Linked DNA regions of Daphnia pulex. The protein of the gene in region 2 binds, or shares a complex with, the protein of the main gene of each other region. Links are inferred from orthologs where the notes say so. Each region holds a gene or a part of one and is shown on either strand. Other genes may lie near its edges.

Region 1 (3,756 bases), on a different chromosome or scaffold from region 2:
GTGATTCTGCAACTGATTCTGGGCGAACGGCTCGAATCCGAGCTACCGGTCTATGCGCTAATACACTCCTTAACATTGCTTGTTTATCAGGTGATACTTGTGGGATCACAGGATGGTGTGATTGAGTTTCCCCTTCTCCTCTTATACTTGACGACAAAAGAGAATCAGCCAGAACAGCCAGTTCAGACTCCCATTTTCTTGACTCATCACCACTCTTTGGTCTACAGAACACACAATTAATTCAATAATTAAGTGAATTTATGAATGGCAAATACCTTAAAGCTTCGAAGGCTGCACCGGCGAGTTTCAGTTGCTGTTCTTTGCTCTGAACCATAATTCGTTCAACACGAGATTTTAACTGTGATATTACTTTCGTATTGTTTCTAATTGCTTCATAAATAACCTGAGATGAAATAAATCATAGGATGCTGAATATTTTAGAGTAATAATAATAATAAAACAAGCTTACCTGAGTTATTGGGATTTCAATTTTGCGGGTGTCTCTAGTACGGTCTCTGCTAATCGAATCTAGGCTTCGTGAAGCTTCTATAAGCTGCTGTTCTATGTGAACGTGCAAGCGCTCAATGCCGTCCATTTTTCTGCGATTGCCTGGATCTAGAGGCCGTAACTTGAGCAAATGACAGAAATGAGAATTTTTGCGACGAGCACGTCGAACACGGGCATCTTCCAAAAGGGCGGCAACTTCTACCAAATCAGTGCACAAGCCTCGAACTTCTTCGTCTTGCACTTTGGTAGTATCGACCAGATCCACACCAAACTCAGCCAGATCGGATGTCATCTTTAACAATCGTTCTTTCTCCTCATCACTCGCGATCGTAACTTTCAAAGTCAACGAACGAGCTTTGAATTCCTTCAAGTCTTGAACGAATTTGGCCACTTCGTCACGTAATATTGCAGCGGCAGCGCCCATGGATGAATGGATGTTAGATTCATCTGCGATTGGAGTTTGACTTGTAAGTTTGACAGTAAGTGGAGTAGCTTTCGGGACAACCGGAACCGCTTCTATCTTCACAGCTGGTACAACAGGTGCAGTTGCAACTTTCGTCACTGAAGGTAAGGCAGGTTGAAGTTGGGGTTTGTTGCCCAAAAACGAGTCCGAAATAGGCGGATTTGAAGGTAATTTCGTTGTAACTGGGACTGCTAAGGAAGGAGCATCCGCAAATGCAGCAAATCGTTCTCCAAGATTTGTTCTAGGAAATGCAATTTTACCAGCAGCAGGTAATGGAGTGGAAGCTGCTAATGGAGCCGCCTTGAGACCAATTCCACTAAGCGCTGGTCTCTCACCAGTGACCGACAATTCTTGAGGAGCCTGATTGAATTTGGCAGCACCGTTCTTTAGATTGATAACATGAAACGGGCAAAGCAGACCATGAGTGCTGAGTATGAAAAGAATGGGTGCGGGCGGTAAAGTTTGATTGTCATCCCAACTGATTGGAATTTGGCTAGTGGTATCGATGGCCATTCCCAACGGGTTAGTCTCAGCATTCTCATTTAATGGTAGTTCAGCTCGCCATTCACCTTCTAGTGCCCATTGCCTCCATTCAGGGTGATCAGCATCTCCAGCTCCTGTTTGAGCTAGTACGGCAACTTCTATTGCGTTAGCTGAACAAGCCAATAACACATTCCATGGGGATAAACTCAATGTTAGATAACTAAAAAAGAAACAAAATTCATTATATTGATAATAAAATGAAAAAAATTCGTATACCTGTGTGGTCTTTCAGACGGACTTCCGTAGCAAACATCGTCATAATCTATGAAAGTTGTTGCCCCCGATTTTTGTACGTTGACTATGTAGAGGTGGGGACGAGAATTGGGTTCATTTTGATCAACAAACGTTACAAGGAACTGAGTTGTAGAAAGCCACTGAAGTCCACAAACCATTGGCTGAGTCATATGGACATCGCTACCACTAAACGCTATAGTCTTGGCTTCCTTTAAATCAGGCTTATACTGAACTAGTTTACTAGGCCTGGCCACAACTAGCTGTTTTCCTTTGGGACTCCAACAGACTGACCTAATAATTCAATAAAATTAAGAAAATAACATACATACAAAATAGGATATTCACATACTGGGCTCCTGTACTTGATGGAAGGCTATTTATAGTGAATTGAGTGTTGTTGATCTCCACTGCAACTAAAGAGCCATCACTAAGACAGACAGCTACTAGAGTTGGTATAACAGGGTTCCACGCACAATCTTTCACAGTAACTCCATCAGTAGACGAAAGCCTGACTTCCTGGAAGGGATTCCATTCACCTGACTGAAAAAGATTTTAAATCTGTTTCAATCACACAAAATGAAATTCCTTAAATCATACCTGTCTTGCAAATCCACGAACATCATACATCCAACCTACTGAGCATCCAGATTTTTGAAGGCACACCATTAAGGTAAGATTATCAGAGCTCAGTGTTACAAAACTAGGTTTGTTGGGTAAAAGAATTTCCTTGATGGGAAATGATGATATTTCTGATTTTTTTGATGTTGTATTGTCAATTTGTATAAGATCTGAAACTTTGATGACAACAAGTTTGTCAGGTGTCCCAACAAAGATCAGACCAAACAAATTAGAAGTAGCCAGCAATGATGTGGTGTCCTGTACATCATATTCCTTTTTAGTGACTCTAAACTTACACAGCTGTTTCATTTTGAAGTCCTGTTGTTACAAGTTAGATTGGTTGAATTGAAAGAAAACAATAAAAAAATGTATTTTAAAATTACCAAGACTTCAACAGGATCAGGAACGTTTGCCATTATCAGTTTCAATAATCAATGTAATATTCGGATAGAAAATCACACCGCACTTTCAACCTTATTTTGTTGCAAAGCCAAAGCCGGTCGAAATTTTATGAAATGTCTAACTGTTTGAGTGCCTCACTGCCTGTCTGCTTGTGACAAGTGAACGCCATCTATCAAAGCAATTTGAATTTTTTTAAATTGTAATAACTCGCGGTTCTTTTTTTTGAAAGGGTAGGGGCTGAGGGGTAGTGTTTCCAATTCTGATCACTTTTGGGGCTATAGTGGAGTTAAGATATTCAAAAGGGAAGGCTTACGTGATACGTCAACCAAATTGCAAGATACAATATTTTCATCAACTTGGTTCATTGAAAACCCTGTTCAAAACGATTAAACAATAAACATTCGATCAAACGAATCATATTCGAGGAATAAATTTACAAATAGGGACTATATAATATACGATAAATCTGATCGTGGTGCACGGTCTCTTTATACGGCAAATAGTCTCTCTTTGAACTAATTAACAAACAAAATTAACTTAACTTAACTTCTAAATAACTTAACATCTATAAGTAAGATAAACTGGCACCTTATCTATTAGGCTACACATTCTGGTCGGTCTGCTCAAATCTGGCTCGATTGGACATTATTATTTTTCAAGAGATTCAATTGGATGATAATTCATGTAACCTTAGTCTAGCATAATTAGACAAAGAATATCCAACTAGGACAAACTTTAGATCCGACTCACTTCCTCATCCCAACCTGTGTGTAGTTCATTCATCTCGATCCCTTTTCTTTATCAGTCCGCAAAAGATGGAATTATTTTTTTTTAAATTTTCTATTCAAATAAACAATTATTGGTTTAATTTGATCAGATTCAGAAACAGCGACACAGCGACGCCATACGGCCGTAGCGCATAAATTCATTTTTAAGCGACGCAGGGAGAAAAAAGATTACTGCTAGTAAACTCTGACTAATCGTTTATT
Region 2 (2,978 bases):
ATCTAAATTTCCCATTTTTCCAAATTGAAATAATACTGATTAAACAATTCCATAGCGACTTTGCCGTGCAAGAGCTTGGTTGAACTCTTCCTATCCTTGGATGGAGGTCAAGCTGTACGAGAAATGGTCCTGCAGGAAGAAGATGCTGCTGAATGGACGTCCTCTTGGTTAGATGTTTTCCCACACTTTATGAAAGCCATTGGCCAGCTGCTTTGGCCCATTGGAAATCACATGACTTTCATGGAATTTCTGATGGAACGCTTCCAACCCTTGGCCGTACAGGGATACGTCCGCCTGCAACAGAACTGGTTTGTAAATATTGTACTTCAATATTAGATGCGTTTATTGATTTTTTTAAATGCAAATTCCGCCCAGGTGTGAATGGAATACGTGCTCTCGAAAATTTCTGATGGCTGTCGCACTTGTGGCTACCGGTGAAGGAGATAAAGCCAGTAAGTGGATGCTTGAAGCTGCTGAAGGAATCATCAAAGAACAACTTCTTCACTCGATTGTCACAAAGGGAGCGAATGAAAGTGGTGACGCTGGAAGTCGTGCTGATCCGGTGATGCGCTTTCATCTCATATGCGTCCAATTGTTAGAGCAGGCGGGACTATGCAGTGCTGCTCTTCGTGTGGCTCTTGTAGCCCTAAACAGTAGTAAAACGGACGACCCCCTTTTGCCTACAATATGGTCGATTGTTGCCAAGCTTCATTTGAACTTGGGCCACTATCAGGTAATAAATCAAACGCATTTTATCAGATTTCACGCCCTTACGTATCCATTCACTGCTAATAGGAAGCATACGAAGCCATCGTAAATAATCCGGATAGCAGTCAGCGACCTGAAACTCTTGGACGTCTGGTCAATATTTTGCTGGAACGCAAGCAGATGGATATTCTTTTAACTTTCCCTTACGCCGGATTGGAATCAGAATTGGAAAAAATTGTGGAGAGAAGGGCTCGCTCATCAGATGTTCTATCTATGACGCTTTATTACTCCTTTCTCTATGCATTTCACGTCCGCCAGGGTAAAATGCGCAAAGCTGCCGCTGTGATGCACGAACAGGTAATGTGTACTATCAACCACTTTAGGCCTTGGATCACCGTTACTGATGTAATTTGTTTCATTAAAGGCACTTCGATATGGATGTGAAGGAGAGTCAGCCAAAATGGTCAAATGTCTTTTGGCTTGTCTCAACGCCCTGCGCCTAGTCTCTAGACAGGAAGCCTGGTTGGTTAAACCAGTAACTACGTTGAATCGTAAGGATTCATCAGAACCGTTTAGACATACGGTTGACGTCATCGAGTATGCTGATATTGAAAAAGAATATGAACTCAGCTACGCTTGTATCAATCTTGGACAGTCAATCACATCTCTTTCTCCTTCGGACGTGGTAGCGCTTTTGACTTCACGCAACCGCTACGAATCGGCACTGCGCATTGCCAGGATCTTTGACGTCAAAGGTATTTTTTATTATTGTTATTACCTTGTCAGAAGTACATTAAGCATGTTTTTCTGCTTGTGTGACTTAAGATACGTCTCCGGTCGTGGAACACTTGGCCGCCAATTGCGTGGCCCTATCGAGAGAACGGGCCAACGAGGATGAAGCCTGGATTTGGTTGTCTCTGAATCAATCGTCTGGAGTAGGCAAGGCTTCAGAGCAAGCCTGGCGGTTATTAGAGAGGATCCTACCAAAAGCAGAAGGAGGGGACAAGCAAACCCGCTGTCATCGTGCAGCGGCCAAAAAAATCCTCGGTTTAGATTGCACCTTGCCTTATTGGTTGGCCGCCAGCTACAAATTGAGGAATCCAGGAGAACTTATCAGCATCTATCATCAAGCAGGGCTTTTAGAAGATGCAGCTCAGGTATTTATAGTTTTTATTGGAATTATTTTAAATAAATATAGATTTAACGGATTCTTTGCCTGACTTTTAATAGGTAGCTCTAGAATTGATGGATGCGATGCTGGGAAAAGGGAAGGAGTACTTTGGATTCGACAGCAACCCGCTCCAGATCAACGCACCTCCTGTATGGATGCCTTACACAGTTTTCGATCGTTTAATCATGGAATTGGAAGCCAACTGTAATGATTCTACCTATAAATCGGTAAATGCTTGTTTGTTTATTTTTTTCTTCTACCTATTATTTATTGAATGTTAATTCATTTTTATGTTTTGACTTTCAGTTACTGAATGACATGAAAGGCAAATTGCACGCTTACTTCCAAACAGCTGAACGTGTTAGTCGCTCTTTTGTCGAGTTATCCATGTCTTAGCTTTCTTTCTTTTTTTATTAATAAAACCCTGAATTTTGTATTACCATTTCAACTGTGTAATAAATACTGAGATTTCCTCGACTTGGAAAGAATGAAAAAAAATTAACAGTAATTTTCCTTGTAAATATTTTGCGGAAGGTTGTCAGCAAACAAACATTTGTTTGTTTCCTCGACCATGACGCTGACGCAAAAGAATTGGACAGATTTTGTTATTTCACTCAAATTGTAAGTTGAACAACGTCATTTTTTTTACATCCAGTTTTGTATGGTTAGTCCTCAGTCATTTAATCAATTAATCAAATATTTCACCTGATTTTAAAAAGAAATTGTTGGTTTGAATCATTATTAGCGTAGCCTCTTATTAATTTCTATAAAAGATGAATTCAAAATTAATGACAATATCATAGACATTTTATCAAATGCAAAAGTAGTTTGACTAATGTGATTTTTAAAATCTGTGAGATTCTAACGGTTAATGGTTAACCTAACTGTTCCCTTGAGAAAGTAGGCGATTAAGTATGGCGACCTGGAAGTGTCTCGACCCGGAAGACCTTGTCCGTATGTCCCGTATAGCGGAGGGGTAGCAGGTCAGAATTTTTTACTATTTGGAACGAGGTACCGTTTAAGTGTGGTAAAACATATAAACCAAAATAGGTCAAACAGCCTCCGTTTGAGGAGAAAGTTTGAGCCTATAAAAATCGAC
Region 3 (3,756 bases), on a different chromosome or scaffold from region 2:
CGATGAAACTCGCGATATTTCCCAAGGAAAGCCAATCGATCGCTGGCAAGAAGTCCAGCACCCAGTGAGTCTAGCAAGTCCGTCGAAGTAAAATCTGAATCTTGAAGGTAACTCTTCAGAACAGCATCGGCGGCATAGGTAGCAAGAGGAGCGTCTTGCGCCTTAACAGCCCAAGCGACTGCCGCACCAAGTCGTCCATTGGCCAAGGCCCGTCGACCCATTACACGACAGACGGAAGTTACCACTGATGTTAGTTTTCTTCGCTCGGCAAGTGAAATTATTTTGGTTGCCTTCATTTCCGACTGGCACGGAAGTCGAGTGAGCAAGTGTTCCAGAGTCGCAGAACCAACATTAGGGCAATGGTCAAGATAGAGAACACCAACCGACCACAAGGATTGGTGGCTAAATAAGCAAATCGAGTAGTCACGAAGCAAAGTTTCTCTCAGCTGTAGTGAGTTAATGTCTTCGAACGACTGAAGTGCTCCGGCGTGATACAATAAATCAGCGAGATGTGCCGTAAACCAAGAATTATCCAATACTCCTTGCATTTCTCCAATCACCTGTGACAACAAATTTGAACAGATATAAAACGTTTCCAGTTAATTATGTTGGTAGTGTCTTGATACTTGCATGAACTCTTATCAAACTTGCTTAAAACTCTTATCCATTGATAACAGCGATACTCACTTTACGCGTGTCGCGACGAAGAACGGCCAAAAGTGTTGCATCTAGTGACGTCAAATCATCTAATCCGATTAAGGAAGCAAAAAACTGTTCGGCTTCATCTCCCAAAGATAACGTTCCAATTGTGGGTTGCGTGAACGTTAACTGAGTAATCATTCGTTGATACCAAGTTTCGAAATGATCGCCAACTTTTTCAAATGCTTCTTCTTTGCCACATAGTATCTTTATCGTAAGTAAATAGAAAGTTTATGTAAGTTAGACAAAAGACATACAACATAAACTAATGAAAATAAAAATGGGAATTAAGAGATCATTATATATAAAACATTATATACCTCCATTAGAAGTTCTAAATCTTTTGATTCGAAGAAATCTCCAGCTTGAGTGCGAGCCTCACATTCTTCTTTCCAATGATTCCATCTGAAGGTAAACTCTGGAGCAGAAACAGTTGAGTTGGCCTAAATAGAACAGAAATACTTAGGAGATAGAAAAATTGTTAATCTATCTAAATTACAAGAACTTTCTTACACTAAAGACTGGCATTTTCTTCAGCAACTCATATGCACTCTGAAAAGCTTCACTCTGGAAATCAGGATGAATTCTTAACAGTTTGGTAGCACTTTCTAAGCGTAACTGAAACACTAGTCCATAGAGAGCTTTCCAATAGCTTTCATGGAGTCCAGGATTTGGTGATGCTAAAACTGTACCAGTTTCTTCTACTGCATTTGGAAAATGAATACGAATCCATTCTAATAGGTGTGGCAGAATTCCAAGTGGGTTCTCAAGATACAGAATTTCACACAAATTCCACACCAACTCAGCTTTGTAAAATATTTCACTCATTTCTTGAAGTGCTTGATTAGATTCAACACTGTTAGCAAGATCTGCTGCTTGGTTCAAATCTTCAATGCATGCATTCATTATACAACGATACTGATGACTGGATTTAATTAACTCAGATGAGCTGATTTGGCCATCTGTGCCAGCCTTAATTTGTAAAGAAGTAAATGCTCCACAGGATTCATTGACCAGCTTGCGAACAAAAGGATTGTACAAGGTTCGCTCCCAAGAAATTGTATAAAGCTTCTTCTTACAAGTCTGGGGACTAACTGGACCTGTCATTGAGAAAAACTTAGTAGGAGTTTTTTGGCTAACTTCCAGAAAGAACTTACCAGAGGTGATCGACTTGGAAAATTCTGTTGGAAATACAGCCAAGCTGTTACCATAACCCCAAGAATGCCCAACATCTTTGTTGTATGCAAATAGAGGATCTTGTATTCCCTAAAACAAAGAAAGTTTGGTTACAAATATGTATACCATGAACAATTCGAAATTATTATTACAATAGGTTCAAGCATTCTGTAAAATGCGTGAAAATCACGTCACAAATCGTAATTGTGTGTAGGATTCAGAAGGATTTCAACTAACAGTCAGAACTCGTAACGAGTACTTTTTTGAAATATTTCTAATCTGTCGTCTGCTGCTTCGGTTTTACACCATACTGCAATGGCCATGGTTACGGCGGTAACTATGACCTGTGCTGCCGAATGTCGATAGCGGAAATTTCAATTTTCGTGGCTGCTTGTTTGTTGACAAAATATCATAGTCTACTTGATCTTATTAGGTGATGTTATATTGCTGTTTCATTAATACTTTCAAGTTGTTTATCGCTTTTCACCTGAAGAATTTATTTGATCCATATTAAAATATCCGTTTCAACAAAGTTTTTGCTATGAACATTGCCGTTTGTTCAGTAAGACAGTTTTGTTCGTCTTCAACATGCTTTAAAAAAGTGCCCGATCGGCTAAAGGGCCGCAGTAAAAGTTCTCAAGAATGGCTAACTCGGCAAATGAATGACGAGTATGTTCTTAAAGCCAAAATGGAAAATTATAGGTAGTAATTTTCAAATAAAAATTATGATTTCAATATTTTCAATTAACAGGCTATAGCTTCAGTTTAATTGTTGTCTAATATTTACTACTTCTTATTAACCAAGAAAGAGCTAGAAGTGCCTTTAAATTGATTGAAATTGATGACAAACACAAATTCCTTAAACCTGGAGATGTGGTTGTAGAATGTGGCGCTGCACCTGGTGCTTGGACACAAGTATGTGTAAAACGAATTAATGCAACAGGAAAAGGTAGATTGAATTGTTTAACTATTTAGCCTAATTAAAATGACACTAGAATGTTTATGGATTTCATGCAGTGTCTTCTCAGCTTAAAGGAAAGCATGTAGCAGTTGATCTTCAACCAATGTAAAAGGGCTGCAAAGTTTTGGTACCCTTAGTTCACTAACATTATTCAATTTTATTCTTTCAGGTACCCAATTGAAGGAGCTGTAATCTTGGCTCCATTAGATTTCACAAAAAGTTTGTCCCAGACCAGAATAACAGAAATACTTGGTGGGCAACTTGCTAATGCAGTCCTAAGTGATATGGTAGGGCTGATTTTATTTCAGTTTTTTTTTACCTTAAATTATTTCAATTAATATTTGCTAATTAAATTTAGGCTCCTGCAGCATCGGGTATACGAGATTTGGATCAAGATAGGATATTAGAATTAGCATATTCAGTGCTGCGTTACGCGCAACAAATCTCTATGGACGGAGCTACGCTATTGATAAAATTATGGGCAGGAGGAAGAATCAAACAACTGGAGAATGAGATTGCATTACACTATTCTCAAGTCAAAGTTGTGAAACCACCTAGTAGTAGACAGGATTCAGCTGAAATGTTTATACTAGCTAGTAATTTCAAGAAAAATACATAGTAATTATTTAACTACTTACTTTGCTTTATTCACATTGAAGTCTACTGAAATTTTGCTTCATCCATGTATTCAATTCACCTTAGTTACATCACTGACTCTAAGCACACTTTTAACAGTTTGATTGGCCGGTGACAATTTTTAAATTTAGTGTGGCAAATTGCAAATCTCACACGAAGATAAATTAGGCATATTGATGAAAGTGCAGTGAAGACAGGTCCAGGATTTGCCAGCGGCATCTCCGGTAGCACCTTCTTCCATCGGTTGCCCTGGTGTCGACATTTGATCAGCGTGAGCCAGGAGC

The links.
Region 1: nuclear pore complex protein Nup160-like (region 2) and nuclear pore complex protein Nup214-like share a complex: the UniProt entries of both Drosophila melanogaster proteins name them as parts of the nuclear pore complex. The link is inferred for Daphnia pulex from reciprocal best matches to the Drosophila melanogaster genes Nup160 and Nup214.
Region 3: nuclear pore complex protein Nup160-like (region 2) and nuclear pore complex protein Nup85-like share a complex: the UniProt entries of both Drosophila melanogaster proteins name them as parts of the nuclear pore complex. The link is inferred for Daphnia pulex from reciprocal best matches to the Drosophila melanogaster genes Nup160 and Nup75.

Annotation. Positions count from the first base shown.
Region 1 is NC_060027.1:5,448,365-5,452,120, forward strand, and holds the start of nuclear pore complex protein Nup214-like, read right to left. Parts: upstream 2,934-3,756; 5' UTR 2,782-2,933; coding exon 2,749-2,781; intron 2,684-2,748; coding exon 2,345-2,683; intron 2,288-2,344; coding exon 2,097-2,287; intron 2,039-2,096; coding exon 1,730-2,038; intron 1,674-1,729; coding exon 470-1,673; intron 404-469; coding exon 276-403; intron 222-275; coding exon 1-221. UniProt on the Drosophila melanogaster protein: Part of the nuclear pore complex. Serves as a docking site in the receptor-mediated import of substrates across the nuclear pore complex including emb, RanGAP and phosphorylated Mad. Protects mbo/Nup88 from proteasomal degradation at the nuclear pore.
Region 2 is NC_060017.1:6,357,089-6,360,066, reverse strand, and holds the end of nuclear pore complex protein Nup160-like, read left to right. Parts: intron 1-55; coding exon 56-308; intron 309-375; coding exon 376-733; intron 734-795; coding exon 796-1,065; intron 1,066-1,132; coding exon 1,133-1,463; intron 1,464-1,533; coding exon 1,534-1,865; intron 1,866-1,938; coding exon 1,939-2,106; intron 2,107-2,185; coding exon 2,186-2,275; 3' UTR 2,276-2,356; downstream 2,357-2,978. UniProt on the Drosophila melanogaster protein: Functions as a component of the nuclear pore complex (NPC). Involved in poly(A)+ RNA transport. Required for nuclear import of Mad. May play a role in double strand break DNA repair. Essential for nephrocyte development.
Region 3 is NC_060023.1:4,665,608-4,669,363, reverse strand, and holds the start of nuclear pore complex protein Nup85-like, read right to left. Parts: upstream 2,185-3,756; 5' UTR 2,043-2,184; coding exon 2,028-2,042; intron 1,966-2,027; coding exon 1,857-1,965; intron 1,800-1,856; coding exon 1,213-1,799; intron 1,143-1,212; coding exon 1,020-1,142; intron 907-1,019; coding exon 688-906; intron 561-687; coding exon 1-560. Other genes in the region: rRNA methyltransferase 2, mitochondrial-like, read left to right, coding at 2,417-2,577, 2,685-2,824, 2,893-2,941, 3,006-3,123, 3,195-3,455; nuclear protein localization protein 4 homolog, read right to left, coding at 3,600-3,756. UniProt on the Drosophila melanogaster protein: Component of the nuclear pore complex (NPC) that seems to be required for NPC assembly and maintenance. Required for nuclear import of phosphorylated Mad via importin msk.